2 linked regions of the Arabidopsis thaliana genome follow. The protein of the gene in region 1 interacts with the protein of each later gene in a pairwise test. Each region holds a gene or a part of one and is shown in the gene's direction. Other genes may lie near its edges.

What was found.
Region 2: the proteins of BON3 (region 1) and BIR1 interact in a two-hybrid assay, tested with the Arabidopsis thaliana proteins (one study listed by BioGRID).

The regions. Positions count from the first base shown.
Region 1 is NC_003070.9:2,835,803-2,852,205, forward strand, and holds BON3 (Calcium-dependent phospholipid-binding Copine family protein), read left to right. Parts: upstream 1-6,166; 5' UTR 6,167-6,350; coding exon 6,351-6,515; intron 6,516-7,202; coding exon 7,203-7,250; intron 7,251-7,376; coding exon 7,377-7,525; intron 7,526-7,609; coding exon 7,610-7,658; intron 7,659-7,754; coding exon 7,755-7,811; intron 7,812-7,943; coding exon 7,944-8,123; intron 8,124-8,217; coding exon 8,218-8,352; intron 8,353-8,432; coding exon 8,433-8,494; intron 8,495-8,574; coding exon 8,575-8,671; intron 8,672-8,753; coding exon 8,754-8,868; intron 8,869-8,950; coding exon 8,951-9,027; intron 9,028-9,266; coding exon 9,267-9,404; intron 9,405-9,557; coding exon 9,558-9,722; intron 9,723-9,836; coding exon 9,837-9,950; intron 9,951-10,039; coding exon 10,040-10,136; intron 10,137-10,229; coding exon 10,230-10,336; 3' UTR 10,337-10,548; downstream 10,549-16,403. Other genes in the region: emb2411 (DNA replication helicase), read right to left, coding at 1-33, 146-256, 356-488, 794-855, 921-974, 1,059-1,265, 1,446-1,508, 1,584-1,805 and 2 more; AT1G08845 (Ribosomal L18p/L5e family protein), read left to right, coding at 2,987-3,013, 3,410-3,502, 4,038-4,169, 4,701-5,153; H2AXA (Histone superfamily protein), read right to left, coding at 11,342-11,563, 11,668-11,874; AT1G08890 (Major facilitator superfamily protein), read left to right, coding at 12,572-12,703, 12,935-12,997, 13,109-13,198, 13,328-13,387, 13,486-13,551, 13,658-13,723, 13,808-13,883, 13,994-14,058 and 10 more. UniProt on the Arabidopsis thaliana protein: Negative regulator of cell death and defense responses. Repress a number of R genes and may have effects in promoting growth and development. May function in membrane trafficking and in fusion of vesicles with plasma membrane.
Region 2 is NC_003076.8:19,598,520-19,613,475, reverse strand, and holds BIR1 (BAK1-interacting receptor-like kinase 1), read left to right. Parts: upstream 1-6,328; 5' UTR 6,329-6,728; intron 6,729-6,857; 5' UTR 6,858-6,943; coding exon 6,944-7,783; intron 7,784-7,869; coding exon 7,870-8,892; 3' UTR 8,893-9,387; downstream 9,388-14,956. Other genes in the region: AtSPO22 (Tetratricopeptide repeat (TPR)-like superfamily protein), read right to left, coding at 53-1,398; AT5G48385 (FRIGIDA-like protein), read right to left, coding at 1,764-2,204, 2,547-2,719, 2,943-4,005; TGG3 (thioglucoside glucosidase 3), read left to right, coding at 9,593-9,740, 9,864-9,920, 10,029-10,090, 10,179-10,254, 10,352-10,502, 10,597-10,724, 10,777-10,850, 10,937-11,052 and 4 more; AT5G48370 (Thioesterase/thiol ester dehydrase-isomerase superfamily protein), read left to right, coding at 12,964-13,317, 13,510-13,687, 13,783-14,255, 14,343-14,471, 14,628-14,810.

The DNA.
Region 1 (16,403 bases):
ATCTACAGATGGAGATTCTTGCGAGAGACCAGCCTGGAAAACAAAGGAAATGGATAGCACAGATCAGTACATTGCAAAAAAATCAAACAAAAACACTCATTTTCCAATAGAATTCTCATCAAAAAGATTCCATAATGTAGTAAACCTGAAAAACTTGGTGTTGCAAGGTTCCAAGTAAGGCTACTGTAGCGTGTTCATTGGATCTGAGCCTCTCATCTAGCACGGTTCGCCTTGGGCAACCAAAACTTGCAGCAACCTGAAAGGTAGAACAGTTATTCACAACAACAACTAAATTAAGTGCAAAGAAGATTGGTAGTTGTAGACAGAGTCCTTAAAGGGAAGACGAAAATAATACCCTAGTTCCGGCAACAAGGGTATCAGGATGAACAATTAAGAAATTGTTTTGACGGTCCACGTCACACTTGCCATCCCCATCAAACTCTCCAATAACATTGATTGAATCTCCTGGTGATACAGTGCTGTAAAACCTGGTAACAATAAGCCTTCAGTGTTCCGAAATCAAGTTTCAACCAACTGGGAAATGAATGGATGATATATAAATGTCCCATATGCTAAGAGAATAGAAAGATAAACAACAAGAAAATGTGTAGTATGCAATCAGCCGACATTTGGAAACTAATAATGGCAAAAACATTCAAGACCAAGACATTAAAGAACAAGGTGTAATAGCTTCATCAAAAATAGAATGGAAAAGTAACGACCACTTGCTATTTTTGAAAAAATTTGATCTGAAAAGCAGAGATCACCCTAAATTTCATACAAAATAAAGTACCATTCATCCCAGAGATACAAAGCGCATTCCACTCCTGTGTGCTCATCTAGCAAGCGAAGAACCTGAGAGAAATTTAGTCAGCAAATATGAGCATGTACAAGAGAAAATCTATGAGTAAATGACGAACCTTATAAGGACATTGACCCTTAGATGAGCTACCCGAGCCACGTTTCTCCGATACCTGTAGTTACAACTCTGGACAATGAGTAACTTTTACATGAAAACCACATTGCTACCCCCCAAGTTCGATTAAGGCCAACTTTACCTCCAATACAAGGAAATAGCTATCTGGATTTATGGAATTCTGCATTTTTGGTAGAGAAACTGGCCCTTCATCTACAGCGCAATCAACAACAGAAGAGATGATATCATCTTTAACTCGAGCTTGAGGCATCACAATCCCCACATCATCAGTTGTTTTGTCATCAACTGCGATGACATCCTCCACTTGATCTAATAGTTCAAGCAAGGCCTACAAAAAGAGGCAATATGCTGAAATAATAATTTGAAACGCTGTAGAAAACAAGTTCTAGAGGAAATAATGCATGTAGTCTTGATCAACCACAGGTGGAAGTGACAAAACATTTTACATAATACTCTAAATACGCCTTTCATAAGCATCTAAAAGACTGCATCAAGTCTCAAATCATACCTTTTTATGTTGTCCAGCCCCCATAGATCCACAAGCTCCGCTGCACGTTACAGTACAAGGAAGCTGAACATAAACAGAGCAAAGTTAAGAAGTAGATAAAATGTGCTCATAAATCTGTTTATCAGGAAAGTAATTTACCTTGTTGTGAGGGCATGAAAGAGACGGTGGGGTCTGGAAAGGACTGTTTCCACTACTTGAAGTGTTAACAATTTCAAACTCTGCATCTGGGGAAGGATTTACCCTTTCCATGACCCTATTTGTTGCAAAAGCTGGTCTTTTGGAAGCTTTTTTTGAGGGTGAAGATAACCATTGCTCAACCTTGGAAGTTATACCTGATGTAGGACATTGCTTCTGCACTAGCTGCTGTCAGTTTCGATGTGAAGAAGGGAAATGAAACAGCTACCGAACCAAGAATTAGTTTTAAAAGAAAATTTAAAGCCGTAAACATGCCTTATTCAGAGAGCAAGGGCGAATGGTAGAAGATTTAACCCCTAGTGAATTTTCTGTTAAGTCCATCATCTTAGGAATGTTCTTAGCAGCTGCCCGAAGTCTTTCATTTACTGGAGAGATTTTCCAAGTTATCTCACCACCACAGTCATCTTGACTTTGCTTTATCAGCTATGAACATAAAAGAAGCATGTAAGAATTATACGACCACAAGGGACTCAATCATGTGAGCAGATATTATAGGGTAATTGCAATTACATCAACCAGCAATTAAGGAGAAAAACATACCCATTCAAACTATTAAATTAGAATATAAGGGAATATAAGAAAAGAAACTACCATTCCAGGAGAGAAGCGCTTCAGGTTTTTGGAGATCTTAGGAGATGCCTCCGTGAGTTGCTGGTCCATATCTTTGGACTCATCAGGTTTCTCATTCGATGTGCCTAGAGGGTTTTGAGGCGTTAAAACTGCAGTGTCAGAGGCAAGACCATTCACATTCTGTTGATCAACTGGGTCAGCAGTGGAGGTATGAGAGTTGGAAGTTGATTGGGAGTTCTGAATATGTCGAAGGAACAACTGCTGGATGCCAAAGGTGGAAGGTTGTGACGAATGATTAGCTGAAGATTGTTTGTTTGATTTCAAAGCTGAAGACTTGGGCTTCTTTCTTGGTGGCATTTCCAATGGCTAATACTTGGCACCCTGAAATTTTGATGGAGCTGATAAACTTCGTGCATATTAACTTTGCCTTGAAACTTCGAAACTTCATATAATCTTCATTGTAATTTTGTATAACGGATTCTTATATATCTTAATCTGAAATTCAAAAGAACAAAGCATAAAAGTAAAATACCTTTCTCAGGATCACGCTGTGAGAATCAACAACAAGTCCTGAAAGTAGTTGACGAAGAATCCCCGGAAATTCCAGTAAATTCCAAAATTAATGGAGCTTCCACAAACCTAGACTCAGCAGAAGCTTCCATAAACGAACTTCGCTACCTCTGAAAATCGCAGACAAAGTTGAGAATTCAGAAGGAACGAAATGGAAATGAAAATCAGATTCCGAAAACTAACCAGGCACGGCGAAGTAGAAAGCAATGGCGACGGCGACGGCGACGGTGACGGTGAGTGAGGCAGTGAGAGAGTCGTGAGGTGAAGGTTCGGTTCCTCTGAAAATCAATTTAATTCAACCCCGCCCGCGTCTTTATTCTTCTTAAACCGGAAACGGTCCGGTTCAACCAGCTAAGTCGGTCAAGATTCCAAATTAATGTCCTTAACCCGGTGTGAAAACCATAATAAAACCGGTGACCCTTGGGTGTTAATAGTTGAATTAGCTTTTTATGGGGAGAAAATGAAAAACGAGTAACTTTCCGAGGACGGAAGACCAAATTTTGCGTTTGTAGGGTTTTAGAAAATCTTCATCTTCAATGTTTGGAGCTCCGAAGAACAATTGCCCGTTTCAACCTTGGCAGCCATTGCGAAGCACCTAACCTATTTCGTTTACTGAATCTTAATTTTAGTTTCTTCTATCTCCGTGGGTGGGTTTTCAGCTTTCTTTGAGTGTAGTATCCTCTGCAATATCAACCCGTCGTGCTCTAGCCATCGATTTCCAGGTGCGTTAGTGTATTTTTATTTCAAATTGAGCTTCCAGATACAGAATCCATGGCATTTGAATTGAAGACGAGTCAAATTTTCTATAAAAGAAGTGAATTTTGTTATGATCACATCGTGGGGTGTGTTCTTCAAATGATTTAAGGTCATCATATTCGTTAATCTTTTCAATACTTTTCATTTCCATAGCTTACGAGCTGCTAATTTGATATCATGTTGGCAATTAGAAATTATAAATTCTTGGCACAAGCTTTTAGCTGCTCTCTATCTTTTGGATTGTTATTGAGAGAAGTCAACTTGTTTGCCTCTCTATTGCTTATTACAAATGGTTTCGTTTTCTGGGCAATAAGAAGTCTTCAATATGTTGGGATGCAGTAATGGAATGGACACTAAAAGAAAGCATACTTTTGTGACAAAGCTACTATCCTTATTGACTAGTGACCTCCGGTTTAATTTAGTTTTAGCAGTTAGCTATATCATAGAACATAGAACGTCTTTATGAGCACTATTATTCCTAGTGACTGAATTTTTCTGTAGGTGGTTGCAGATATAATGTTGAAGCAAGTGGTTGCCAAGTATTCTATAGGTAAAGCGGCGATTTATGGAAGTAACAGAGAAAAGCTTAGACCTTTCATGTGCCAAACCAGTTGTCGATTCCACAATGGACGGGTACACTCCACCGTTCTTCCACTTTGTTTACTTGACTGAATAGTTTGATTTTTAGTAGAATTAGTAGAGGAAGCGTATTCTTTTGAATCAGGTCTTGTGCAGTTCCTTGTGACTCCTGTTTGATTGAAATCTCATAACTAGATCTGCTTGGAAACGATGTTGAATGTGATTTATCCGACGTTAGACCACTCCCTTTAGCTTTAGTTGCTGTTTGCTAGAAAGAGGTTAGATGAATTGTATGAGCAGAACCCAAATTAGTTAAACGGTGAGTTAGATAAATTGTAGCTCATTAAAGTAATTGACTGGATTGTTCCACCTCTCAATGGTTTGTTGGTGTTTGATAGTGCCAATACTTTTAGTCTGGCCATTTAGATGAGTCAGTATGCAATAGCTGGATTTTATAAGATTTACTGAGCCTACTTTGCAATCATTAAGTTCAGCTCTGTTCTAAGTATTGAGTCTTTTCAGCTATCGTTTCTTGGTCTTTTTGTATCTGTTTCTATTTTGACTTGGCTTTACCATTCTTGACAGACTGTTTTTGCACCAAGAAGCTTCTTTGGTGTAGAAGACTACGTGGATGACGACACAAGCCGGCCATACACATACCAAAAAGAGAAAAAGTCGAAGAATCCAGACAAGCATGTGTCGTTCAAGCAACGAACAGTTGCATACATGGAGCCGTTCACTCTAGATGTCTTCATCTCAAAGCGCTTTGTTTCGGCATCTCTCACGCACCGTGTTACATGTAGGCAAGTTGCTGTTGCGGGAACAAACTCTAAAGACGTAAAAGCTGTTCTGAGGTCAAGATGTGATATCCCGGCATGTATGTCCATAGGGAGGATCTTGTCTGAGCGTGCAAAAGAAGCTGATGTGTACACGGCTTCTTATACGCCAAGGGACCAAGACAAGTTTGAAGGGAAAATCAGAGCTGTTGTCCAGTCCCTTATTGATAACGGAATTGATGTTAAAATTTATCTCGATTAGAAAACAAATGTTTGTTGTGTCCGTGCTGAAATTAGTGTTTGATTTCGATTTTCCTAGCAAACCTTATTGATTCAGCGAGAGACAAACTAAATCCAACAATTCATGGGGAAAAAACAAAACATATGACAAACTATTTTGAAACTGAAATCCCAAGCAAGTCACTGCTCATTACTTTTCAATTACTTTTCAAATCTCTTTTAGGCTTAATATTTGTTGTAGGCTATTTAGACTTCCTTGGAATTTTTTGGGAACTCACTGCATAACTCAGAGAAAATGCCACCTCTAGTTGAATTAGTCTCTTATATAACACTTTTATGTTGGCGGCAGAAAAGTGCAAGATAGGAACAACATTTTTGAATTTTCACACGTGTATAACGACCATCCAATGTAGAAGAACAACAAACAAGACTCGAGTCAAAATAAATAGAAACAAAAAAAAAACACGAGATACACAATGTCATAAACAAAACATAAGTATGATAATCATATCAAATTAAGAAAAATAGATTTTAATTTCTATAATTAACATAATAATCTAAATCAAATATCTAAAAAAAACTAAAAAGATAGAGTTGAAAAGCTAAACTCTAAACCCAAAATTGTAAAACACTACCTAATCCTTAATACTTAAATTATTAACCGTAAGTTAATATTCAAACAATATCTAGTCTAATTAAAATTTTGGAATTATTAGCTTCATTTTTAATTATTCTAATTATATTCCTAGCACAAACAACCTCGCGCGAAAAGGAAATTTATGAGAGAATAGGAGAAGGAAAATTCGCAGAAACGAGAAAACTTTTAGGTTGAATTGAAAGTTGAAACCTTTTTTTCTAGTTAAAGTGTTAAATGATCGAAAGACGTTTCCTTTAAATTCGAAAACCAAAACGCGTTTTGATATCCAAACAAAGGATTCAACCAACCGTTTCGATTTCTTGGAAGGTCGAACCAATTTCCTGAGAAAATCTTCTTTGCTTTTTTAAATCAAAAAACTTCAGATTTTCCAGTTCTATTTTTCTTTTACGCGTATCCCTTTTCAATATACATATATATATACAGAGCTAGAGAAGTTGCAGAATCCTGTGTTAATCATATTACAATCTGCATTGTGAAATTTTGCGAATTCATCTAGGGTTTGATCTGACTCCAAATTTGGGATTTTTAGGGTTTAAATCTAGAGATAGAGAGAGAGAGAGAATGGGAGGTTGTTTATCTGGAGATGTGAAAGGAGGCAAACAAGCCATTGGAGGGGTCCAGCAGAGACCCACTTCCTCAACCATCGCCAACAATGCGGCTCACAACGACGCCGTCGATTTTTTCTTCAGATCTCGTGGTCAATATCCTCTCTTTTCTCAAATCGAGGTACTAAAGTCAGGTGTTTTTTATGTTTGTTTAGCTCCTCTAGTATATGATGTGGTCACATTTGGATTAGTCAACCAAGTTAACAATTTGTGAATTGAATATTGCTTAAACACTAGATTATTGCTTTTGTTTAAGGATCCTTGTTCTCCTTTTTTTTATCCATACTGGATAAGATATTCCCTCTTGTTTTGTACTTTTCTAATGGAGCTAGCCCATTGACCCTCTGTTCAGTCTTTGTCCATGTTTTTTCTCTCTCTTTTGCGTGCGTGGGGTTATAGTTTATTGAATTGAATCTTCTTATGTGGGGTATAAAGTGTGTTTTCTTAATTAATATCTTTAGCTTATTGTTTGGTTTCTGAGAAAGTAGGCCAGGCTATGCAATGAAAACTATAACTTAAAGTAAATTGCAATGAAACATAACCCTATAATACTATACTACTACTCTGCAACTTCTCCCTCAGTGCAACCATTTAATATTTGCACTATTTGATACGAAAAGAAAAAGGAACTTTTCCTTAAGATTTGTTATTGTGACTTAAGGATGGCTTAAAGTTTTCGCTTTCTTTTGCTTGTTGCTTTTGAGTTTACACTCTTTCTTTAGGATTTTCATTATCATGAAATATCATAAACTTTTTTCACAGGTTTACCTTTAAGTTGTGTTTAACATTGTGCAATTGTGTTTTGCAGTTAACTTTGTCGGCTTCAAACTTGTTGGACTGTGACATAACGTCTAAGGTATTCCTAGAATTGAATCATCTCTAATATTACTACTAGATTAAACTTTTTGGACATGGTCGTATGAGATTTAAAGCCATTTACTTTAGTTACATGTGAAGCTGATGAGTTTTCGATTTATTGTAGAGTGATCCGATGGCTGTCATGTATTTGAGGAAAAAGGATGGGAGACTTGAGGAAATTGGCCGTACTGAAGTCATACTTAACAACTTGAATCCTAAGTGGATTGAGAAGATAACAGTCTCTTTTCAGTTTGAAGCTGTCCAGACATTAGTGTATGCAACTGTTAACTATTCTTTTCTGATAAATTGCACATGTTGAACTCATGTTTAAACTTGTATGAATCTTTTTCTTTTCAGTTTTCACGTGTATGATGTTGATACCAGATATCATAATGTGCCAGTGAAGGTAATATTTTCATTGATAGTAACATCAAGAAGTTTGCATATCGATAATAAATGCTACACATCAAAAGTGGTTTCAATATACTGTATAACTTTGCAGACATTAAAGCTAAAGGATCAGGATTTCTTGGGAGAAGGCACATGTGTTCTGTCCGAGGTAAATTTATTCAGTAATCAGACACTGCTACTTGTGATGGCTTCATTGTTGTTTGGCCATTAGTCAGTGTTACTGCTCTTTGTGTACGACATATCTAATACTTACAATTTACATTCCTCTTTCAATCACCAGATTATGACAAGACAAAACCGGACACTGACATTAACTCTTACTGGCAACGTTAGAGCTGGTGTGAATAGAAATTTGGGAACACTCTCTATCCAAGCTGAAGAAACAGTTGCTTCTAAAACTGTCGCTGAGATTAATTTTCGCTGTGTCAATTTGGATAACAAGGACTTGTTCTCTAAGAGTGTACGTACAAACTTATGCATTCTTGTCCTTCTAGGTAACAATATTATGATTTCTTGCAGAAGCTTTAACTTGTTATCTTATTTTCTCTTTCTAGGATCCTTTCTTAAGAATATCAAGAGTTGTTGAGACAAGTGCTGCAGTCCCAATTTGTCGGACTGAGGTCGTGGACAACAACCTCAACCCCATGTGGAGGCCTGTGTGCTTGACTATGCAACAATTTGGAAGCAAAGTAAGCTAGTTGTTTCACTGTAATTCAATGTATACATTTGAAATAATCATTATGTTAAATTGATTGTTTTGTTTATGCAGGACACCCCATTGGTTATCGAGTGCTTAGATTTTAACACCAGTGGGAATCATGAACTTATTGGGTAACATGTTAACCTTTAACATTCTACCGGGTCTCACCATTTTTGATTTTTGTTACTGACAATTATACTGAACCTTGCAGAAAGACAGAGAAATCTGTAGCAGAATTGGAGAGACTTTGTCTCCAGAAAGAGGCTGCAAACTTTGTCTATCCATCTCTAAGTCACGGTAGAAACAAGGTGCCTAGTCGTACCACTTGATTGAAATCTTAATACAGTTATTTTCATCTATTTTCGTTAAGATTTTATTGGGTTTCTGTAGGTTCTGAAAGGCCAGCTCATTGTGGATCGTTATGTGGAGAAAGTCCAGTACAGTTTTCTTGATTACATATCCAGTGGCTTTGAACTTAATTTCATGGTTGCAGTTGACTTCACTGGTGATTCACCTTCTTCTACTTCATATATATCTTATCTTTACTTAGAAACCTTGATCATTAAGATTGATGGTCTGTCTTTCAGCTTCAAATGGCGATCCCCGAACTCCAAGTTCTTTGCACTACATTGATCCATCAGGCAGATTAAACTCATATCAACAGGTACTATTGTTACCCCTTCGTTTCTTTTGTTTGTGATCTGTATCCTCAATACCAATACATTGCTTGGACTAGAATGGTTAGTTCTCTCACAGCGGCTAATGAAATAGCATAGATTTGGCCATTTAACTATATGCTTATTCTCAGTATAAAACCATCGTCTCATTAATTTTTCTTTCAGTGTCGTGATTCCCTTGATCTATTGTATGTATAAACATAATTTGGCTTCTGTTTTTTTCCAGGCTATTATGGAAGTAGGAGAGGTCATCCAGTTTTATGATTCTGATAAGCGGTTTCCTGCCTGGGGGTTTGGAGGAAGAACATCGGATGGTTCTGTGTCCCATGCTTTTAACTTGAATGGAGCATCATATGGCGACGAGGTAACTTACGAGACAGAAACTGTTATCTCCCTTTATTATTGGAGCTGATATTGTGTGCATACTGGTGTCCATTATTTGAAAACCATGAAACATTGCATTCTCAAAACTGCATGTTAAGTTTCACATTGCTTCATATTCTCTTTTCGTTTTCAGGTTGTTGGAGTTGAAGGAATCATGGTAGCTTATGCGAGTGCTCTTCGCAATGTTTCTCTAGCAGGACCAACTCTATTTAGCAATGTGGTCGACAAGGCTGCTCATACTGCTTCACAGTCACTCTCACAAAACAGTCCCAAGTACTTTGTTCTGCTCATCATTACGGTAAGAGACTGAACATTCAGATACGTAATGACTTTGGCCCAGTTCAGATCGAATGTGCATCTGTTACTAGTAAATCTATAGCTTCAATGACAAAAAAAATGGATGTGTGAACAGGATGGAGTCCTTACAGACATGGCGGGTACAGTAGATGCATTAGTGAGAGCTTCTGATCTCCCGTTGTCAGTTCTTATCGTCGGTGTGGGAAACACAGACTTCAAACAAATGGAGGTACAAGTTTTGTTTTGTCAAGTTAGGTTTTATATCTGTCTCTTTGCAAATAGTAAACATGCAGTGACTTGACCTTGTAAATATTTCAGATGCTTGATGCTGATAATGGTCGGCGGTTAGAGAGTTCTACTGGTCGAATAGCTACACGGGACATCGTTCAATTTGTCCCTATGAAAGACATCCATAGTGAGTTTTAAATTCCTTATGTACAACGGATAGTGTAAAGTGTTTAGATGCGTTTTGGATTGGTAGTAAATGTTTAATTTGGTGGGGTTGCAGGTGGACTAGTGTCGGTGGTGCAGGCACTTCTAGAAGAACTTCCCGGCCAGTTTCTGACCTATGTCCGTTCGAGAAAGATTAATCCGATCGGAGCTCCAGCAATTTGAGTTCAGCAGCATAGTCTAGTCTCTGTTTTTTCTTGCATAGAATTATTTTGGTGTCACCTTATTACCATAGTTATCATCATGTTCTCAATTTACTTAGGTTGGATTTAAACCGTAAGGTTTGTTAGAAAGAAAGAAACAAAAAACAGAACAGAATTTGCGAAATGTATATATATTTTAGCTTGTTTGCATCACAATAACATGATATAAACCACTGACGGTCTGACGCATCAAAGTAGATACGTTGGTAATATATGAAAATGTTAAATTATTTGCCGTCTTTCAGATAGACGCTGTTGAGCTTTGCATTATTAACGAAGGAAAACAAAAAAAAACATGGGATTCTCAATTGACACATGATTTCAAAATTAGGCAATTAATATTTTTGGAAAAATTAGATTGGAGATGCGGGGGATCGAACCCCGTGCCTCTCGCATGCAAAGCGAGCGCTCTACCATTTGAGCTACATCCCCATTTTGTTAAGTGTTCTGCGCTTATCTTTATTATAACAATTTTCAAGAACTCGATTCTTGGTAAGCAAAAAAAACTGCAGATGAAGGTAATTTAGCGAGCTAATTCAGGTGCGAACCAACAGATGAGGGTAACTTAGTGAAGTTAATTCAGGATTACCATGACTGAGGCAGTTAGGCCCAAAACCTAATGAGTTTTACTCCCTGGGTGAATTAAAAAATGAGTCTGGTTAAATTGAAACATGATCAAAGCAATGTTTAGTATTAGGCTCCATGAGTTGCATGTATCTGCAATAAAGAATCAAGTATGCATAGTTTGTGTTTCAAAATGTTTCTGGGTTGATATATCGATTAATTCAGTTCCATTGATACATGATTCGTTCCGAAATATCATATCATTCACTAATTAAACATACTTAGGCAAAAGCCAAATATACTTAGCTTTAAAACCTAATTTGATCCCCAAAAAACACCATCAGGGTCTATTTTACAAGTTCCGAATCCAAACAAGAGAACTGAACTAAGAAGTCTAAGAACCTCAGAACTCCTGAGAAGCAGATCCAATATCTCCTTTGTTCTTGCCAACCTTGGATGGCAAAAGAGTCTGATGAATATTTGGCAAAACTCCTCCATTCGCAATCGTCACACTTCCCAGAAGTTTGCTTAACTCTTCATCGTTCCTCACTGCAAGCTGAATGTGTCTTGGTACTATACGTGTCTTCTTGTTATCCCTTGCTGCGTTTCCCGCCAGCTCCAACACCTATCAACCCAAACCAAATCAAAATCAAATCAGTACAAGATCCAATTCAGATGTGACCAAATCGAAATTGAAAACCAAATTGGAAGACAAGAAAAATAAATTACCTCGGCGGCGAGGTACTCGAGAACAGCGGAGAGATAGACCGGAGCTCCGGCACCGACACGCTCGGCGTATTTACCGGATTTGAGGAATCTAGCGATTCTTCCGACGGGGAATTGAAGACCGGCTTTAGATGATCGAGAGACGGATTTGGTGGCCTTTGGCTTTCCTCTGCCACCTTTGGTTGTTCCGCTTCCTGCGCCTGTACTCATCGTCTTCTTCGAAATTTAGAACAGATAAACGATTTGATGAGAGTTTGAAGAAATCGAAGAGAAATGACTATTGTAGATGATCTGGGAATTGAGAAGATGAGTGGGCTTTAGGGTTTTGCTCTTCTCTATATGTATAGGCTACTAAGATTGATTGTGATTTGTTAGACTTTAGATCACACGGATTGCCAACGTGGCAGATCATCTACCCTTTCAATTATTATGTGATCTATGGTTCGTACATCTCCTTTTACTTTTTGAAAATAATGTACAAACGAAAAGTGATTTTAGTGAAATAGTCCTCCATTATTAAGCTTTCTATAATTTTAGACCCTGAATCTTGATCTGTTACAAGTTCATATTTTTAATTTACATCAATACATTTATTGTGGATTGATCATCCCAATGTATTGATGGTTATTTAAAAGATGGCCAGGGTTGATCGATTCGGTTTCATATGATTTTAGTTCTATGATGTAACCTTTATTGATCAAGCAACAAGAATAAATCAATAATTTATACGATAGCCGACATAAAGAGATTTCTATTATCTTACTATATATAGTCAACAAATATCTATAACAGTTGTTCACATGGGACACGACCAATGAGTCACTGCCAAATACAAGCTTCAAGAGTGAAGACTATTAAAGAACAGAGAAATACAGGGAAAAGCAATTAGGAGAAGGAACAAAAGAAGATGGAATCTGGAAGTATGAAAACACCTCTGGTGAATAATCAAGAAGAAGCAAGAAGCTCTTCTTCCATCACTTGTGGTCTTCTTCTTAGTACCTCCGTCGCTGTCACTGGCTCTTTCGTTTATGGCTGCGCTGTGAGATTTCATCATCACTCTTTCCTTTTCTTTCATTTGGTTTTCTAGTGTTCCTCATGGATCTCAACTAACATGCCTCAGATTGGAATTTTTATTTTTTTAATCAAAATCTGTTTTGAATTTGGTAATTGTTCAATAGCTGTTTTGTCTCAAAATTGTTATTTGAATATTATGTGATTTTGAGTTGATGTCAACTTGTGGCCTAATTTTGTGCACTATCATAATTTGAAGATGTCATATTCATCGCCTGCTCAGTCCAAAATCATGGAAGAACTGGGACTTTCCGTTGCAGATGTAAGTCATCCATGTGTGTGACCAAATCAATAACTAATTTTATTTTTTACATCGATAATCAATTATTACTCCTAATTTACTAAAATAATGGTCTATTTATATTTTGGCCAGTATTCGTTTTTCACATCGGTAATGACATTGGGAGGAATGATTACGGCCGCGTTTAGTGGAAAAATTGCTGCAGTTATTGGTCGTCGACAGGTAATTAAATTTTGTTTCGTATTCAAATGTTATTATGCCACTGTTTTTTTTTTTTTGTTTTTGATATTGTAGGACCTTCTAAGATGACGTAATATACACGTTATGATTTGTTCATCTCTTTGATCGCAGACAATGTGGATCGCGGATGTTTTCTGCATCTTTGGTTGGCTCGCTGTAGCCTTTGCACATGTTTGTTTCTCCAAATCTCCATCTTTTAAATTTATTTTTCACAAGTTTAGTATTTTTTAATAAAGTTAACATTTCATTTGCTGTGGTTTATTTTCAAGGATAAAATGCTGTTAAATATTGGTCGAGGCTTCTTGGGGTTTGGGGTTGGTCTCATTAGTTATGTGGTAATTAACTTTATCATCTGTTTTGAAAACAAATTATTTGTTACTTTTATAAAGTGTTGATATAGTAATTTCGTTTTACACCATTTGATTTGATCAAAACAAATAGGTTCCTGTATATATAGCAGAAATTACGCCCAAAGCATTTCGTGGAGGATTCTCTTTTTCCAATCAAGTAAGAATGAAACAAATTATATCAAACAGCTTATAATTTCAGAATATTTAATTTATTATTGTTATCTTGCGTTTGAACTTGCAGCTTCTACAAAGTTTTGGGATATCGCTCATGTTCTTCACCGGAAACTTTTTTCATTGGAGAACATTAGCTCTTTTAAGTAACTATATTTTTTCTCTAAATGAACTATATCTCAAATCATAAAAAATTATAATGTGTGTACTTAATTCACATTATTTAACTTATTCTTGATTTTCAATCTATGACTAGGTGCAATCCCATGTGGTATCCAAATGATATGTTTATTTTTTATTCCTGAATCACCTAGATGGCTGGTAATTCACACACTTAAAGTTTGTTTTTTATTTGTTTAATTGGTAATATTATATTTAAAAGGTACAGTCTACATATTAATGTTCATCTTAGGCTATGTATGGTAGAGAACGAGAGCTTGAGGTTACTTTGAAGAGGCTAAGAGGAGAAAATGGTGATATTCTCGAAGAAGCAGCTGAAATCAGAGTATTATTGTTTGTTCCGAAAATACTACTACTACTTTGGCTAACATATACGTATTTTGGTTAACTATTAATTCGGTTTAAAATGTGAAACAGGAAACAGTGGAAACCTCTAGAAGAGAATCTCGAAGTGGACTAAAAGATTTGTTCAATATGAAAAACGCACATCCGTTAATCGTAAGTCTCATCAAATACCTATCATTTATACAAATAATTTAGAAGAGATCGAGTTCTTATCTAGTTTTGTGACCTATTGATGATCAACTTAATAAACAGATAGACATGTATTTATGCGTATGTAGATCTAACATTCTGCCTATACGTATGAATGAAATACTCCCAAGTCCTAACGGAAAAAAATGTTTTAACTTGTTTAGTGAAATAAATAAAGATTAATTTGTTTTTGTTTGTTTATTAATTCGTTGAAAACGATTAGATTGGATTGGGCCTAATGCTCTTGCAACAATTTTGTGGGAGTTCGGCGATAAGTGCTTATGCTGCTCGTATTTTCGACACAGCCGGTAAACCATGATTTAAAAAAAAAAAAAAAAAAAAAAATCATTGGCATGTCATATCTTGTTTGATTTTGTATCGCATTTCATCTCACGATTTTTGAATATATTGTCTTGGGTATTTAGGTTTTCCAAGCGACATAGGAACATCCATCCTTGCAGTTATTTTGGTAAATCAAAACATTGTCTTTTTAGTATTTAACATTTTATAATCGAAAATATAGTATTTCACATTTTCACTACAACTTATTCTTGTTTTTAGGTACCGCAATCTATTATTGTCATGTTTGCCGTCGACCGATGTGGACGCCGACCACTTTTGATGGTAATCATTTCATTACCTTCGTTATATATAATTTGCGTAATTGATTTCCCTAGATAAATATTTTATTTGTGGTTTGAAACTTTTTTTGCAGAGCTCTTCTATCGGTCTGTGCATATGTTCATTTTTAATTGGCCTCTCTTACTATCTTCAGGTTTAGTCATCTTAACTATTTTATTCTTTGTAACTTCGTTTGATTTTTGGTTATTATAGACTAAATATTATTTATCCCCCACAAGCAGAACCATGGTGATTTTCAAGAGTTTTGTTCCCCTATCTTAATCGTCGGTTTAGTGGTACGTGAATGCCAATCTTGTTTCAGTCAATTACTATTTTTGGTTTAATTCATATATTACTTTGTTGAAACCACAACACTAATCAACCAAGTCATACTATATACCAGGGTTATGTCTTATCCTTTGGCATTGGTCTAGGTGGACTACCATGGGTTATTATGTCTGAGGTATTTGTTTTTTTTTTTATTTTAAACTAGAAATATTTCATAATGTAATCATTATCTTTTTTTTTTTTTGGACAACAATTTATTCATTATCTATGGCAGGTGTTTCCGGTGAATGTGAAAATTACCGCCGGTAGTCTTGTAACAGTGTCAAACTGGTTTTTCAGTTGGATTATCATTTTCAGTTTTAATTTCATGATGCAATGGAGTGCTTTCGGTAAATTTCTATCCATTAATTTGACATTTTTGTTTCTTCAGAATATTACACATCTAACACAAAAATGCTTTATTTCGACAGTATTTAATAATTATTACAATAAAATGAAAATAAATAAATAAACAAACAACCAGCTCTTAAAATTGTTTAAAGAGTATAGGGTTATGTATAATCAAATCATGGTAAATATATCTTTTAAATTATTAAAAATACTAAAACGGGAAGATTAGAGAATTTTATGTTAGGAATGTCCCCTCGAATTAATATTTTCATTATATAATAACTTAGATATGAAATTAAAGAGAATGATTATATAGTTATTTTGTTTTATTGGAATTTGCAGGAACATATTTCATATTTGCTGGAGTTTCTCTGATGTCATTCGTATTTGTATGGACTTTGGTGCCTGAGACGAAAGGCCGAACACTTGAAGATATTCAACAATCACTAGGCCAACTTTCATAAATCCAAAGTTGATTCTTTACTCCACAATGCCAGACATTGTTCTTTTATGTTACATTTATAAGTCATGTATTATCCGATTTGGAGGGGGGGGATATGGATTTCCGAATTTTTTTACTTTGATAAATTTTGTCAATATATTTTGTTGACAGAAAAAAGAATAATCAATATACTGTATGTGGTATTATTCTA
Region 2 (14,956 bases), on another chromosome or scaffold:
TGACACACCAATGTTAACCAAGGGAGATGAAAGTTCAATGGCAAAAACATACCTGTTCCAGAGAACAGAATGTATTGCCTTCCTCTCCTTAGTCACAGCTTCACTAGCAAAGAGAGCAACAACTCTCTCATCTGACACGAGCTGAGCCACAACGTTCGCCCTAATTCTCGAACCATTATCACCTCCCCTACTCTCACCAAGCACCCGATGAGCCACTCTAAGTGCCGCCTTTGCACTGACATGACACCTTCCCAGCAGACCTAAGAACACACCCTTTGCAGTTTCTGCTCCAGCAGTCCCAACCACCTCAAAATATGCTTCCACAGCAGATACCCACACTGCCTCTGGAATATCATTGTTTCCCACCATACCTCTCAGCTCCTTCTCTGCCTCACTATGCCTCCCAAGTCCTAACCAAGCCTTCATCGCCAACACAGGTAATGAAGCATGTTGATCAGCTCCATCACTACCATTTCCTCCATTCCTTAGAACTTTCACACATTTTATCACATTCTCGAACTCTCCCTTCTGCAAATGCACTGCTGATATGAAACGCAGAGTTTTGATTCTCATGGCCGTGAACTCCGTAGTATCTTCCCGAGTTTTTGCTGTACCTAATCCCTTCTCACAAAGATCCAACGCTTCATTCATTAACCTAAGAGCGTCGTTTAGACTGCAATCGTCGTCACCTCTAGACAAAGAGCTTTTACCAAACGCAAGGAATTGATTTGAGAGCGATTTGTAGTGATCCGGTGAACCAAACAACAAATTCTTCGCCCGATTAAGCAACGTTACAGCTAAATTCCTATCAGAAATTTCCCAGGCAGTTCGAGATCTAGCTAGGTTTAGATCCAGAAACAATTTCTTTTCTCCGGCATCGGAAATTTTCGCGATATCAATTTTCGAGACGATTTCGGTGGCTCTCTCGAAGCAATCGGAGGCGAGATCGAATTTCTTGAGACTGTGATAAACAAGACCGGTCTTATAGTAGAATAGAGAGGACTTAATCGTCGGAGATGGAACACCGGTAACGTCCTTAGCGAGAAAAAGCATATCGGCGGCAACATGTCTGAGATTCGCAATGTTCTCGGCGGAGGTTAAAGAGGATTGGAGAGAGGCGGCGTTAGCGAGATCAACACAAGCATTCCAGAGGCGAAAGCTGAGTTTCCATATGGTAAGCTTGAAGGAGTTATCGGGAAAAGGAGCAAGTTGACTCAGCCGAGTTAGGAATTGTCTAAGAGAAATAGGGAGAGATTGAGGTAGCGGCTGATCTTTGGAAATGGCTTCAGATTGTTGGATTAAGAGCTCGATCTCGGAGAGAAGAGGATGGTGAGTGTGTGAATCGGTTTCCCGGTGATGTAACCGGAGGTCCGGCGTGGTGATCTCGGCGATTCTCATTTCGATTGTTGGCGGGAGATTTCAGAGAGAGAATTGGGAATTTCGAAGGACCGAGTCTGAGAGAATAAGATATTTTCGAAATTCAAATTAGGGTTAGTATTGTAATTTACACCTCCTGTGTAGGTTAAGGAAAAATAATAAAATACAACATTAAAGATATAATAATTAATAAGAAAATCTGAGTATTTTTTTGTTTTTTGTTTTGAGTAGGGTTGATCCTTAAAAATACTAAAACCATCCGTACACAACAACAACATCAAAGGGAAAGAGAACTAAGGAGAGGAGTTAAAAAAGAGCTGCCACAAGTTAACACCAAAGGGGAGTCACAGTCACAGTCACATTTTACCATTCACCTTTTTTTATCACTAGTGAAAGTAAGGAGGAGGAGGAGGAGCCTGGTACTGATAGCAGTTCGCGTAGAAGTTCCCATGTGCAGGAGCAGGATTGAACGTGTAAGTCTGAGGAGGAGGAGGTGGTGGAGGTTGTGCTGCCATGATTGGACCGCTAAGGAACGGTCTGTTGTCATAGACATACTGCGGATACCTTTCAGGGATGACTCTACCGTATCCTGTCTTGTTGTTGTTGATGTTGTTGTTGTTGTCAGTGACTCGGGGTTGAGCACCACGTGGTCGTTTTGGCTGAGGTTTCATGGGTTCTGTTGCTCTCTTTTTGTCCGCTTTGGCTTTCTCGAGCTGGAGAATCCGTTTGTGAAGTGGCTCAACTGGGTACTGCTCTTCCAGGCTATGCTCTTCGATACACTTTATAACGGTTTTGAGGCCTATAAGCTCCCGCTCATTGAACTCATCCTGCATTGGTACACACATAATAATGTACAACAATATGAGACTGATCCTGCATCAGCAAGTACTATGATATACGCCTAAAGTAATTGATAATGAAAGCATCGGTTTTCAGTTTCAAATGGTGTTAGAAGTCTGGAGTAAAATATGACAGCTAACTGAACAGAGCTCAGGAATGTTCCAGCGAGGTAAGATTTACTTTTTCAAATAGCCAGATGCTCGAGAAAAGGTAACGAGTTCAATAAAAGATAAGATCACTCGTTCTAGGCAAAATGCATTAATATAGCCCTTCATTTTCACCAACAAGGTAATCTATAACTGCAAGTTATCAAGTCAGGGAACACTTGCCTGAACAGCAGGAGATGCATTGCCAGGTCTGCCTTGGGGGGAAGATCGCCTTGCCTCTATCAAGTAAGATTTCAGTAATGAGACAGGTGAGAACTGTTCTGTGAGTTCAAACGCAAATGCCAAGTTAACCGCATCAATCTGTTTTCCACTGTTCACGAGAACTTCAATCACACCTGGAATAAAAGGAGCAGTGCACATTAAAGATAAGATCAAGGGATAAGGTAGAGAATCTGGGTGTAAACTAAACAAGGAAAAACACAGATATCCACCATGTTTAGGCCCTTGACCAGAGACCCTATCACTCACTAAATAGTTACTATCAAACATCAACTTTCCTATCGAAATGTCATAACCTGTAAGATAATCAGCCATATACTAAAAGTTAAGAGAACAAACCAGGCATTTTTTCAGCTAATCCAAGTGAACGGCAGAGCTCAGCTGCCTGACGGCGACGTGAAACCATGGGGATCAGCTTTAAGAGTTCATCTTCTTTAAAATCAGCAACAATAGCAAAAGTGGCCAGCAGTTGCAGGAATGCATGAGCCTCCAAAGAATTACCATTGCAAGCATCCATGTCAAGAGATTCCAGCAGTGGATTCCATCCTTCTGCAATAGTTTTGGCTCTATGCTTAACATTTTGTGAGAGAACAACAGCAAGGCAGTTGCGGTCCAGACCAGATAACAGTATGCTAAGGCACTCCATCAACATGATACAGGTTCTGCGCATGCCCAAGAGGTTAGCGTCTTTTTTTCCATCAGCAGTTGGTGCCTCCATAGGGTAAAACCCTTCCAAAGAGTCCAACACTAAGCTGGCTGGGTTTGCTGCAGCCCTGAACGCCATAGGAATCTCCTCCTTTAGTGATGCAAGGTTCTTGCGGTTATCTGATACAAACTTATGGAGACCCGTTGAGTCCATATCCCCGCACAGTTTCAGTAACTGTGGATAAGCCTTCACCTCATAATTTCCCATCACAGGTGAGATCTGAACATCTTGCACAATACCATCCGGATTATCATCGGTAATACTATCAGCAGCAAAGACATTGGATGAATCCTCTACAGCATTTTGTGGCCAACGTTCACCAACAGAAGGTTTACTGACAGGAGCGTTGTTATACTTATCCAAAGCACTGTTTATAGTAAACATAGCTGCGTCTCTCTTCTTCTGAAGCCTTTCAAGCGCCGCCTTCTCCTTAGCCTCAACAGCTGCCTTCTTTTTCTCCAACAGTTCTTGAGCTTTCCTTGTTTTGGTTTCATACTCTTTTTCTTGATCTTCAAGCTCATGAAACCTTCTCTTCAAAGACCTCTCAAGCCCATGAAAATGCTCCTCAAGTTCCTTCCACTTCAGATTAAGTGTTACAGCACGCTGACTTTCAAGTTCAGCAAACGCCTTCTGAAGCTGCTGAATCTTGGATGATGTAGAGTCCATGAGTGAAGCAACTGACCGAGTATCCTCCATCACAAAAGAGCCTAAATAAAACGGAAATTTAAGTAATGATTAAAAAGTCCCGAACAAATAAAAACAAACATGAGTACAACGACATTAGAGGCCAGACACAATATTGTTACCAATTCAAACAAGTCCAATCTCCAAGCTGCGAATAGAGAGCTCCACGAAATCTCGATCCTTGAACAACAAACAACTACAAAAAAAAAAATCATCAAGAACAGATAAACAAAGATCAGTCAAAACTATCCAATGACAATATCACTCGTTAAAGATAAAAACAAATTAGCTCTGTAACAAGACCGTACAAGTCATAGTGGACAACTATGTAAGAAAATGGCCTACAAGGCAAGTAAAGACAAATGAACAAGAAACCCCCAAAAAAATGAATCCATTCAAGAAAAATTCACACTATTTTTTAGTCACAAAGATAATTCAACCTCAAGAACTAATCAGACGTACTTATAAAAAAATTAGCTGAAATAATACAAATACAGATTAAGAGAAGAGTAGATGACGAAATGAGAGTAGAAACAAGCAAGCTGATTCAGTGATTCTATGAAATCCCAGCTTAATCCATCACATAAACAAACTTCACGACCAAAATTCAAGGTCATAGCAGAAATTTTGAGCTATATTGTGGAGAAATCAACAAACCCTAGCTACAGTGAAGAGAACACGAACATGAACTCAAAACAAAAAAAAAGTATATACCTCAAGAGAAGATAAAAAAAAAGCAACTTTACCAGGAAAATCAAACGAAGTAAAAACCCGTAAGAAGAAGAGATCAAAAAACTTCAAGAAGGACCACATGATCGTAGATCCATGGTGAAGAGCGATCGAGAGAAATCGAGGTTAGGCAGAGAGAGAGAGAGAGAGAAGAGGAAAGTGAAATCCCTAAAAAGGAAAGAGGAAAGTAGAAGAGAGGCAAAATAAAAGGAAGCAAAGCGATTTATAACAGACACTTTATTAAGCACACCCAATTTTACTTAGTTGGCACGTGAGAGAGACTGGTGTGGTTTAATGGCTCGTTCTTCACTATCATATCTGGTTCGGACCAGACAGCTTATGTGGCTCTAGTCAAACCCTTTAAAGTTTGCGTCACGTGAGTTTGTCTGAAACTGCCGGGAACTTGTAATTTACTCTTTCCTCCTTTTTTTCTATTAATTGGTATATTCACCATCTATGTGTATCAATCACTCTTTAAATTCCTTAACTTTTTTTACCAAACACCCAATCTTTTTAACCTGTTGACGAAGCTTTGGCTTCATGCTTAAGGCTATGTTATAATGGGGAAAAAACTAGATTGCACAATCTTTCATAGACTGATATTCTTCATCGGATGTTTCGATCATATAAATTGTCTCCAAGGATGAAACTATGTGTCTAATTTTTTTGAATGCAAAATTTATATATGATTGTTTTCTTAATAAGAGCAACAATGAAAATATAGTTTGGTTATACATTGGTATTTGTCAAAGAGGAAAGACTAAACCAAGAGTAAATAAATCTTACAACTTCCCAAATTGTTGGAATTCTACAATTGTATTATATATGGTGAATGATTTGGTACAAAACATTACAAATATCAAATGAATTTCGAAGTTGGTTCAGGTCACGAATGGCGGATTTGGCTTGGGAGAGACTAGAGGTTGTGATTCGTGGTTTATCTCCTCTCTAAAATCGTTATGTTACAAACTGACTATCAAGGATAATCATATCAATCAAGATAATGAAGAGAATCAATATCGTCAATCACGTTAATTGCTCATAATCATTGTATACAATATTAAGTTTCCTTCAGTAGCTTTCTAGTCTTTGTATATAAACACTCTGTAATCATCTTGTTTCATATATTCGATATACTCTTAGTCTACATGGTATTAGAGTCTCTGTATATAAACACTCTGTAAAATTTCTAAAATCGTTATGTTACAAACTGACAATACATAAACAACACGAATTAACATTTTGGGGTGTTTGCTGAACCGTGGTTGGCGGGTACATCTGCTAAATGAACAAGCTTTTTATATATATATATATATATATAACTGTCAACCCATAATTTAAAGATTCCAACAACAACAAAATAAGTACTACTCCTAATAAGTATTTAAATATGTGACATGATATTCAATTTTTGTGATACAAATTATTATGCATTGGTATTTGTCAAAAACTAATACCAAGAAAACATTTCTTGTAAATGTCATATTCCATTCTTTGATTTGGTCAAAACACCAAAACCATTTACAAAATATCCAGAATTATCTAAAAACGAATGAAAAGCGAAAAATACCAAATGGAAGAAAAATTTGTCCATCTCCTAACAAACAAGATAATATATATGATGATGTTGAAAAGTCAAAAAGAGAAGAAAGAAAAAAAAAACATTTAACGCGCAAAGACCGATTTGGTTTTTGTTGGGAGTCATTGCGTTCTCATCATCAGTGTCTCTCTTTTCTTTGCCCCATTCTTCACGAACTTTCACTAGACGACGACGACGATCCAAAGTCCCAGTCAACTCACTCACAAAGACGACTCCTTTATTAAATTATTCCCAACTCCTTTCTTCATCATCATCATCATCATCATTCATAACCACTTAGCCACAGATGCGATTTTCTTCTCCTTCTTCATTGTGCTCTTCAACACTTATGAACAAGAGCACCACCACCACGACAACGACGACTACAAAGACCAAAGCTTTCGTTTTGTGTTTCTGATTTTGATTCGTAAGTTGTTGTAAATTTTTCTAAGTCAACTTCAATTTTAAAGATCGCTTTAGTCTTTTTGATTCGCTGGCGATAATCCAATTTTCGTTGTTGCTAATAAAGTTTTGATTTTTTTTTATTTGCTTACAGGATTTTGATGCTCATCGAAGAGAACCCTTGATTTTGTTGCTGTAGTTCATAGAGATTTTACACATTTTGTGGAATTTAGTGGATTTATGATGATGGGTAGGTTAGTTTTTGTAATCTGGCTCTATAATTGTCTCTGTTTGCTGCTACTCTCGAGCTTGGTTGACGCGGATCAGGCCAACATAGATTGCTTAAGGACCTTTAAATCTCAAGTAGAGGATCCAAATAGATATTTATCGACTTGGGTTTTTGGCAACGAGACTGCTGGTTATATCTGCAAGTTCAGTGGTGTGACTTGTTGGCATGATGATGAGAATAGGGTTTTGAGTATTAAGCTATCTGGTTATGGTCTTAGAGGAGTGTTTCCTCCTGCGGTTAAGCTATGTGCTGATCTCACTGGTTTAGATCTTTCTAGAAACAACTTCTCTGGACCTTTACCAGCCAACATTAGCACCTTGATTCCACTTGTTACGATTCTAGACCTCTCCTACAATAGCTTCTCTGGTGAAATCCCTATGTTGATCTCCAACATTACCTTTTTGAACACTCTTATGCTTCAGCATAACCAGTTCACGGGTACTCTTCCTCCCCAGCTAGCGCAACTTGGACGGCTCAAAACATTCTCTGTGTCTGACAATCGTCTCGTTGGTCCTATCCCAAATTTCAACCAAACCTTGCAGTTTAAGCAGGAATTGTTTGCTAATAACCTGGATCTGTGTGGTAAGCCTCTAGATGACTGTAAGAGTGCTTCTAGCTCTCGTGGTAAAGTTGTTATTATAGCGGCAGTTGGTGGACTGACTGCAGCAGCATTAGTCGTTGGGGTTGTTTTGTTCTTCTATTTCCGTAAATTGGGTGCTGTTCGGAAGAAGCAGGATGATCCTGAAGGAAACAGATGGGCAAAGAGCTTGAAAGGACAGAAAGGTGTTAAGGTAAAAACATCATTGATTTGAATTTTGCTGTATGTGGTTATGTTCTAAATTTATGATATATGTTTGGTGCTTTTGTGAATGTTCAGGTTTTCATGTTTAAGAAATCGGTTTCAAAGATGAAATTAAGCGATCTTATGAAGGCAACAGAGGAATTCAAGAAAGATAATATCATTGCAACAGGAAGAACAGGAACTATGTACAAAGGTAGGCTTGAAGACGGGTCTCTACTTATGATAAAGAGGTTGCAGGATTCTCAACGCTCTGAGAAAGAGTTTGATGCAGAGATGAAGACTTTGGGCTCTGTTAAAAACAGAAACTTAGTCCCTCTCTTGGGCTATTGTGTTGCCAATAAGGAGAGGCTTCTAATGTATGAGTACATGGCAAACGGTTACCTTTATGATCAGTTACATCCTGCAGATGAAGAATCCTTCAAGCCCTTGGATTGGCCTTCAAGGCTGAAAATCGCGATTGGGACGGCAAAAGGATTGGCATGGCTTCATCATAGCTGCAACCCGAGAATCATCCATCGCAACATAAGCTCGAAATGCATATTGTTGACTGCAGAGTTTGAGCCAAAGATCTCGGATTTCGGTCTAGCTAGGCTGATGAACCCAATTGATACCCATTTAAGCACATTCGTCAATGGAGAATTTGGGGATTTCGGTTATGTTGCTCCCGAGTATTCAAGAACCATGGTTGCAACTCCAAAAGGAGATGTCTACAGCTTCGGTGTTGTGCTTCTAGAGCTAGTAACGGGCCAAAAAGCAACGAGTGTAACAAAAGTATCTGAAGAAAAAGCTGAGGAAGAAAACTTCAAGGGTAACCTCGTGGAATGGATTACAAAGCTATCAAGTGAATCAAAACTGCAGGAAGCAATCGACAGGTCCTTACTTGGGAACGGTGTGGATGATGAAATCTTCAAAGTACTCAAAGTAGCATGCAACTGCGTTCTACCGGAAATAGCAAAGCAGAGGCCAACCATGTTTGAAGTTTATCAGCTTCTAAGAGCCATTGGAGAGAGCTACAACTTCACCGCCGATGATGATATCTTAATCCCATCTGAATCAGGTGAAGGCGATTTCATTGAAGAGCTCATAGTTGCTCGTTGATCAAGAGGAAGGGTAAGAATTGTGAAACAAACATCTCTAGTCGTAGCAGTCCAAAGATATATATAATGTATAAGTATTGTTTTTATTTTATTTTTGGGTTCTCGTCGTCGATGGTGTGTTGTAATATGATATATTGTTAGATGCACTCTCTTATTACTATGTACTAAGCTTTGGGTGTGTGGTACAGTCACTGTTTTGGTTTTGCCACTACGTCTTTGCTGCCTTATATTTTGCAGCACTAATTTGGTTGAGGAGAATACAGTCATCACGTGGGATATCTTTGAAGACTAACTATGTGCTCGATTTGGACCCACTGACTATGGAGATTTCAACGAAACTCTGTCCGAAATTGGACAAACCACAAATATATTGCAATGACGAATGATTGGGTCAAGAATACCAAATTCAAAATAACTAGACTTAGTCAATTCTTGGTTTTCTTTTTTTTTTGCTTAATTCTCGTCGACAATAATAGAAGAATTAACAAGTGTTCTTACATCACCTTTTCACTTCCAATTTTATAGGAATCCATGATTCCATTTCGTTAGCTCCTTGATGTAAAATTTCTATTTAAGGACACCAAAACAAATATACAAAGCAAAGATTAAATTTTCTACAAAAACTTCTTCTTTTAAAGTTTAATTGAGACCGCATTAGGTTTCCATGCAGCTGAATGAAAACATACATGTACCGATTAACCATGAAGTTTCGTGCACTCGGCTTAGTTCTTCTATTAGCAGTGGAGACTTGCAAAGCTGAAGAGATTACGTGCGAAGAGACCAAGCCATTCACATGTAACCAAACTGATCGTTTCAACAGAAAACATTTCGATGATGACTTCATCTTCGGTGTTGCATCTTCTGCTTACCAGGCATGCAACAGATCACATATTCTCCCAATTTTGACGTAAAAAACAATTCACTAACACTAAATTCCAACGTTGCATGGTTGTTTTGTTTCACTTCAGATAGAAGGTGGAAAAGGCCGTGGCCTTAACGTTTGGGATGGCTTCACTCACCGATATCCAGGTTTGTCGTTTGCATGGTTGATATATAAAGGCTTACATATTTATACGAGAGAAGTGTCGGTACGTTATCTCTCTATACATTCATAGTAATGTCTTTGTACGCTACCAGAGAAAGGAGGACCCGATTTAGGGAATGGAGACAGCACTTGTGGATCATATGAGCACTGGCAGGTTAATACGTGTGGAATTACTGAATTTAGTCACTGAATTTTTATCAACTACGTGTGGAATTTACATGTGATTATTTGTATTACTACAGAAAGATATAGACGTAATGACCGAACTCGGGGTTGACGGCTATAGATTCTCGCTTGCTTGGTCAAGAATCGCTCCAAGTATGTACACATTAATCCATGCATGTATATATGAATATATATTGTTTGTCGTAAAAATAAATCTACGATCTATATGAGCAGGAGGAAAGGTGAAGAGGGGAATCAAACCAAGCAGGTGTTAAGTACTATAACGATCTCATAGATGGCCTCCTAGCAAAGAATATAACTCCTTTTGTTACCCTCTTCCATTGGGACCTTCCTCAAGTTCTGCAAGATGAATATGAAGGTTTCTTGAACCATGAGATCATGTATGTTATCGATGCCATGCTACTTCTTAATAAATATGACAACATATAAAAGATTTGATCTCGCATTAACGAAATGATTCTATAATATGAGCAGAGACGATTTCAAAGATTACGCGAATCTATGTTTCAAGATATTCGGTGATAGGGTTAAGAAGTGGATCACGATCAACCAACTCTATACCGTTCCTACTAGAGGTTATGCAATGGGAACAGATGCACCGGGTCGATGTTCTTATTGGCTTAATAAAGATTGTTACGCCGGAGATTCTGGAAGAACCTTATATCGTTGCACATAACCAGCTTCTTGCTCATGCCAAAGTCGTCCATCTTTACCGGAAAAAATATAAGGTGAGTTCTCTGGTTGAAAAAGATATAATCTGACATCTGATTCTAGATAATTTTATATATATATATGCAATGCTTCCTCACAACAGCCAAAACAAAGAGGACAGATTGGAGTTGTGATGATTACTAGATGGTTTGTTCCATATGATAGCACTCAAGCCAACATAGATGCGACTGAGAGGAACAAAGAATTCTTCTTGGGATGGTATATCTCTCAATATATCCAAAAATAAATAATAGATGTACATTTATAGAAACTTATTAAGGCATGTGTATAAAATAGGTTCATGGAGCCACTAACAAAAGGTAAATACCCTGATATCATGAGAAAACTTGTGGGTCGACGCCTTCCAAAGTTCAATAAGAAAGAAGCCAAACTTGTAAAGGGTTCATATGATTTTCTTGGTATCAACTACTACCAAACTCAGTATGTCTATGCCATTCCCGCAAATCCTCCGAATAGACTCACCGTCCTGAATGACTCGCTCTCAGCATTCTCATGTACATCTATATCTATATTGCTATTTAGTTACAACTTTTCTTTACAAATACTATCTTCTTAATTTGTTTACAATATTTTGTGACCATCCCATTACTTTATCTTTGTGTTTACAGATGAAAATAAAGATGGTCCCATAGGTCCATGGGTATGCATGCATGATCCATCCCTATATTTCATTATTTTTAAGAAAAAGATAACATACATAAATATACTTGGGATTTATCTATGTTTCCCTTTCTCAGTTCAATGCAGATAGTTATTACCATCCAAGAGGAATTTTAAACGTGTTGGAGCACTTCAAAACTAAATACGGAAACCCATTAGTCTATATCACTGAGAACGGTGAGTTACTTATCCTTGTAATTATATTTTTTTTCTCTTTATGCATGTTTAGTTAATTTATTTCTAAATCGGTCCAAGAAATCGACTCATTTGTGTAACTGGTAACGATGGTCTAACTAGGATATAGTAGCCCCGGTGGTGACACACCCGCCCTTGATGTTATAGCTGATTCCAACAGGACTGATTATATATGCAGTCATCTCTGTTTTCTCCGTTAGGCCATCAAGTGAGTGGATTCTACTCGTCTTCCTATCTTCTTCTACTTAATTTTTATATATATGTATATGGATGTATGATCAACAAGAAAATTGTCTCTAATGATTGTTCCTGTTTTTAGGGAGTCTGGTTGCAATGTGAAAGGATACTTTGCTTGGTGTCTTGGGGATAATTATGAATTATGGCCATCAAGATCATTTCATGTCTCCCCTTTCTACTTGCTCCATAGAAAGGACAAAGGAGCGTTCCCTTCATTCGAAGCATAATTCATCTAGTGACTGACGATTTGAGTTATATATTCATCCTTATTGTTCGTTTGGACCTCTTTGTTGATGTTTAACGAGTTATGATATAAGAAAAGGGAGGAAATTATTGCCATGCTTAAGGCCTAGAGCACTGAATCTCGACACTTTTTAATTTATGTTTTAAGTTTTAACCATTCTGTTGTAGACTTTGTTGCGACATAGCCGTCTCCAATAAATTAGTTTGGAGACTCACATTCAGATTCAAACAACCGATGTCTAAACGTTCTGATGAATCCCTATGATCTTAGGCATCATATCTTGATTATCCAATGTCGTAGCTTAGGGCATCCAAGAATGTTGGTCGACCAACACCAATGAATTATGAACCATCGTATCTCCATGTTCTTTACAGTCTCTTTCCCTAAGATTGAATATCTTCTTGTGCTAGGTAAGGCTCCAATACCATTTGTAAGTGTAGAAGAAACACACAATAACATAATTTTAACAAGCTTAATCAACATGCATACGTTCTCAAATTTTATTGAAATTGTTGATTGTAAAATTAGAAAAAAAGACAAAGAAAATAAAGAATGTTTGATGAGAATCAGACAGAGTGCTCTTTAAGCTAACCTTGTAAAAAAAAAAACACTAAAGCAAATGTCAAAAAAAGAAACAATCTAAAAAAACTCCAAAGTCAAAGGAACTAAAAATCAAACAATGTCCTTCCTTTGAATGATTCACCATCTTCTCTTTCACCTTCCCCCATTTTCAAAAACCCAGAAACAAAGCTTCTCACTTTCTTCACCCAACCATGAATTCCCCAAGACCCATCTCCGTCGTCTCCACCTTCGCTTCACCATCCTCCACCTCTGACCCAACCCGAAAACCCTTAAGCTTATGGCCAGGTATGTACCATTCACCTGTCACCACCGCTCTTTGGGAAGCCAGATCCAAAATCTTCGAATCTCTTCTCGATCCTCCTAAAGACGCTCCACCACAGAGCCAGCTTCTCACCAGAACTCCTTCTCATAGCCGTACCACCATTTTCTACCCTTTCTCCACTGATTTCATTCTCAGAGAGCAATACAGAGATCCTTGGAACGAGGTCCGTATCGGGATCTTGCTCGAAGATCTCGATGCTTTAGCCGGCACTATCTCCGTCAAGGTATCTTCATTTGCCAAATTGAGTGATAAAGTTTGATCCTTTTTTAGGATACTGTGAATCTCTGTCCTCTGACTATGGTTGTATTATAGGTTTTAGTGATCTTATTGTGTATTTGATTTTCTGACTATGTTTCTAGTATAGGTTTTAGTGATCTTATTGTGTATTTGAATGTGTCTGTACATTGTGATACAGCATTGTTCTGATGATGATAGTACAACGAGGCCACTCTTGCTTGTTACAGCTTCTGTTCATAAGATTGTCTTAAAGAAGCCGATTTGTGTCGACATTGATCTCAAGATTGTTGCTTCTGTCATTTGGGTTGGTCGTTCATCTATCGAGATTCAACTCGAAGTTATGCAATCCGAATTGAGTATGTGTATAGTCGTCTACTAATTCAACTTACAAGCATGTATCTTGAAACTAGAAATTAAAAGACTTCTGTTTTGTTGTTGTTGTTGTTTTCAGAAGATGTCAAGGCTTCTTCAGATTCTGTTGCTTTAACTGCAAATTTCATTTTTGTGGCGCGTGATTCTAAGACTGGTAAAGCTGCTCCTATCAACCGTCTTTCTCCTGAAACCGAGGTTGAGAAACTTCTCTTTGAGGAAGCTGAAGCTAGGAATAACTTAAGGAAGAAGAAGAGAGGAGGTGACAGAAGGGAATTTGATCACGGGGAGTGTAAGAAGCTTGAGGCTTGGTTGGCTGAAGGAAGGATTTTCTCTGACATGCCAGCTCTTGCTGACAGAAACAGCATTCTTCTTAAAGACACTCGTCTTGAGAATTCGCTGATATGCCAACCGCAGCAGAGGAACATCCATGGTAGGATCTTTGGAGGGTTTTTAATGCATAGAGCATTTGAGTTGGCTTTCTCTACTGCTTATACGTTTGCGGGTCTAGTGCCTTACTTCTTAGAAGTTGATCACGTCGATTTCCTAAGACCGGTTTGTAACCAAATCACTTCTTACCATTATCTTCTTGTTCACGTTCGTCTTCTGTGTAAACTTACGCTTAATGGACTTAAATGACAGGTGGACGTCGGGGATTTCTTACGTTTCAAATCCTGTGTTCTTTACACTCAACTGGATAAACAGGATTGTCCGCTCATCAATATCGAAGTTGTTGCTCATGTTACAAGTCCAGAGATTCGCTCCAGTGAGGTAAAATTCTAACTTGATGATGGAGCTTTCTTAAACGGTTGTTAAAATTGAACTTGCTCACTGATTCTATCTTCATGCCAAAATTTCTTGAACCTTATCAGATTTGAAGCTCATTATGTTAATTTTGAGGTCTCTTTTCTGTTACATATGATGTAGGTTTCAAATACATTCTACTTCAAGTTCACTGTAAGGCCAGAGGCAAAGGCCAGAAACAATGGGTTTAAACTTCGAAATGTAGTTCCTGCCACAGAGGAAGAAGCTCGTCATATCCTCGAGCGCATGGATGCAGAAGCTTTGAAGTCAAGCAAACAACAATGTGTAGGCACAATTCTTCAGTAATGGTTATGGTGTTTCTATGTTTAAAAGACCTGGCTTATCAGGTTTATCCTCTGACCACAAATTAACTAGAAATGTAGATGCATTTCTACTGTATCTAAACGATTCGCTAATATGACCAAAGATATGGCTTACTTGTGCAACTCATT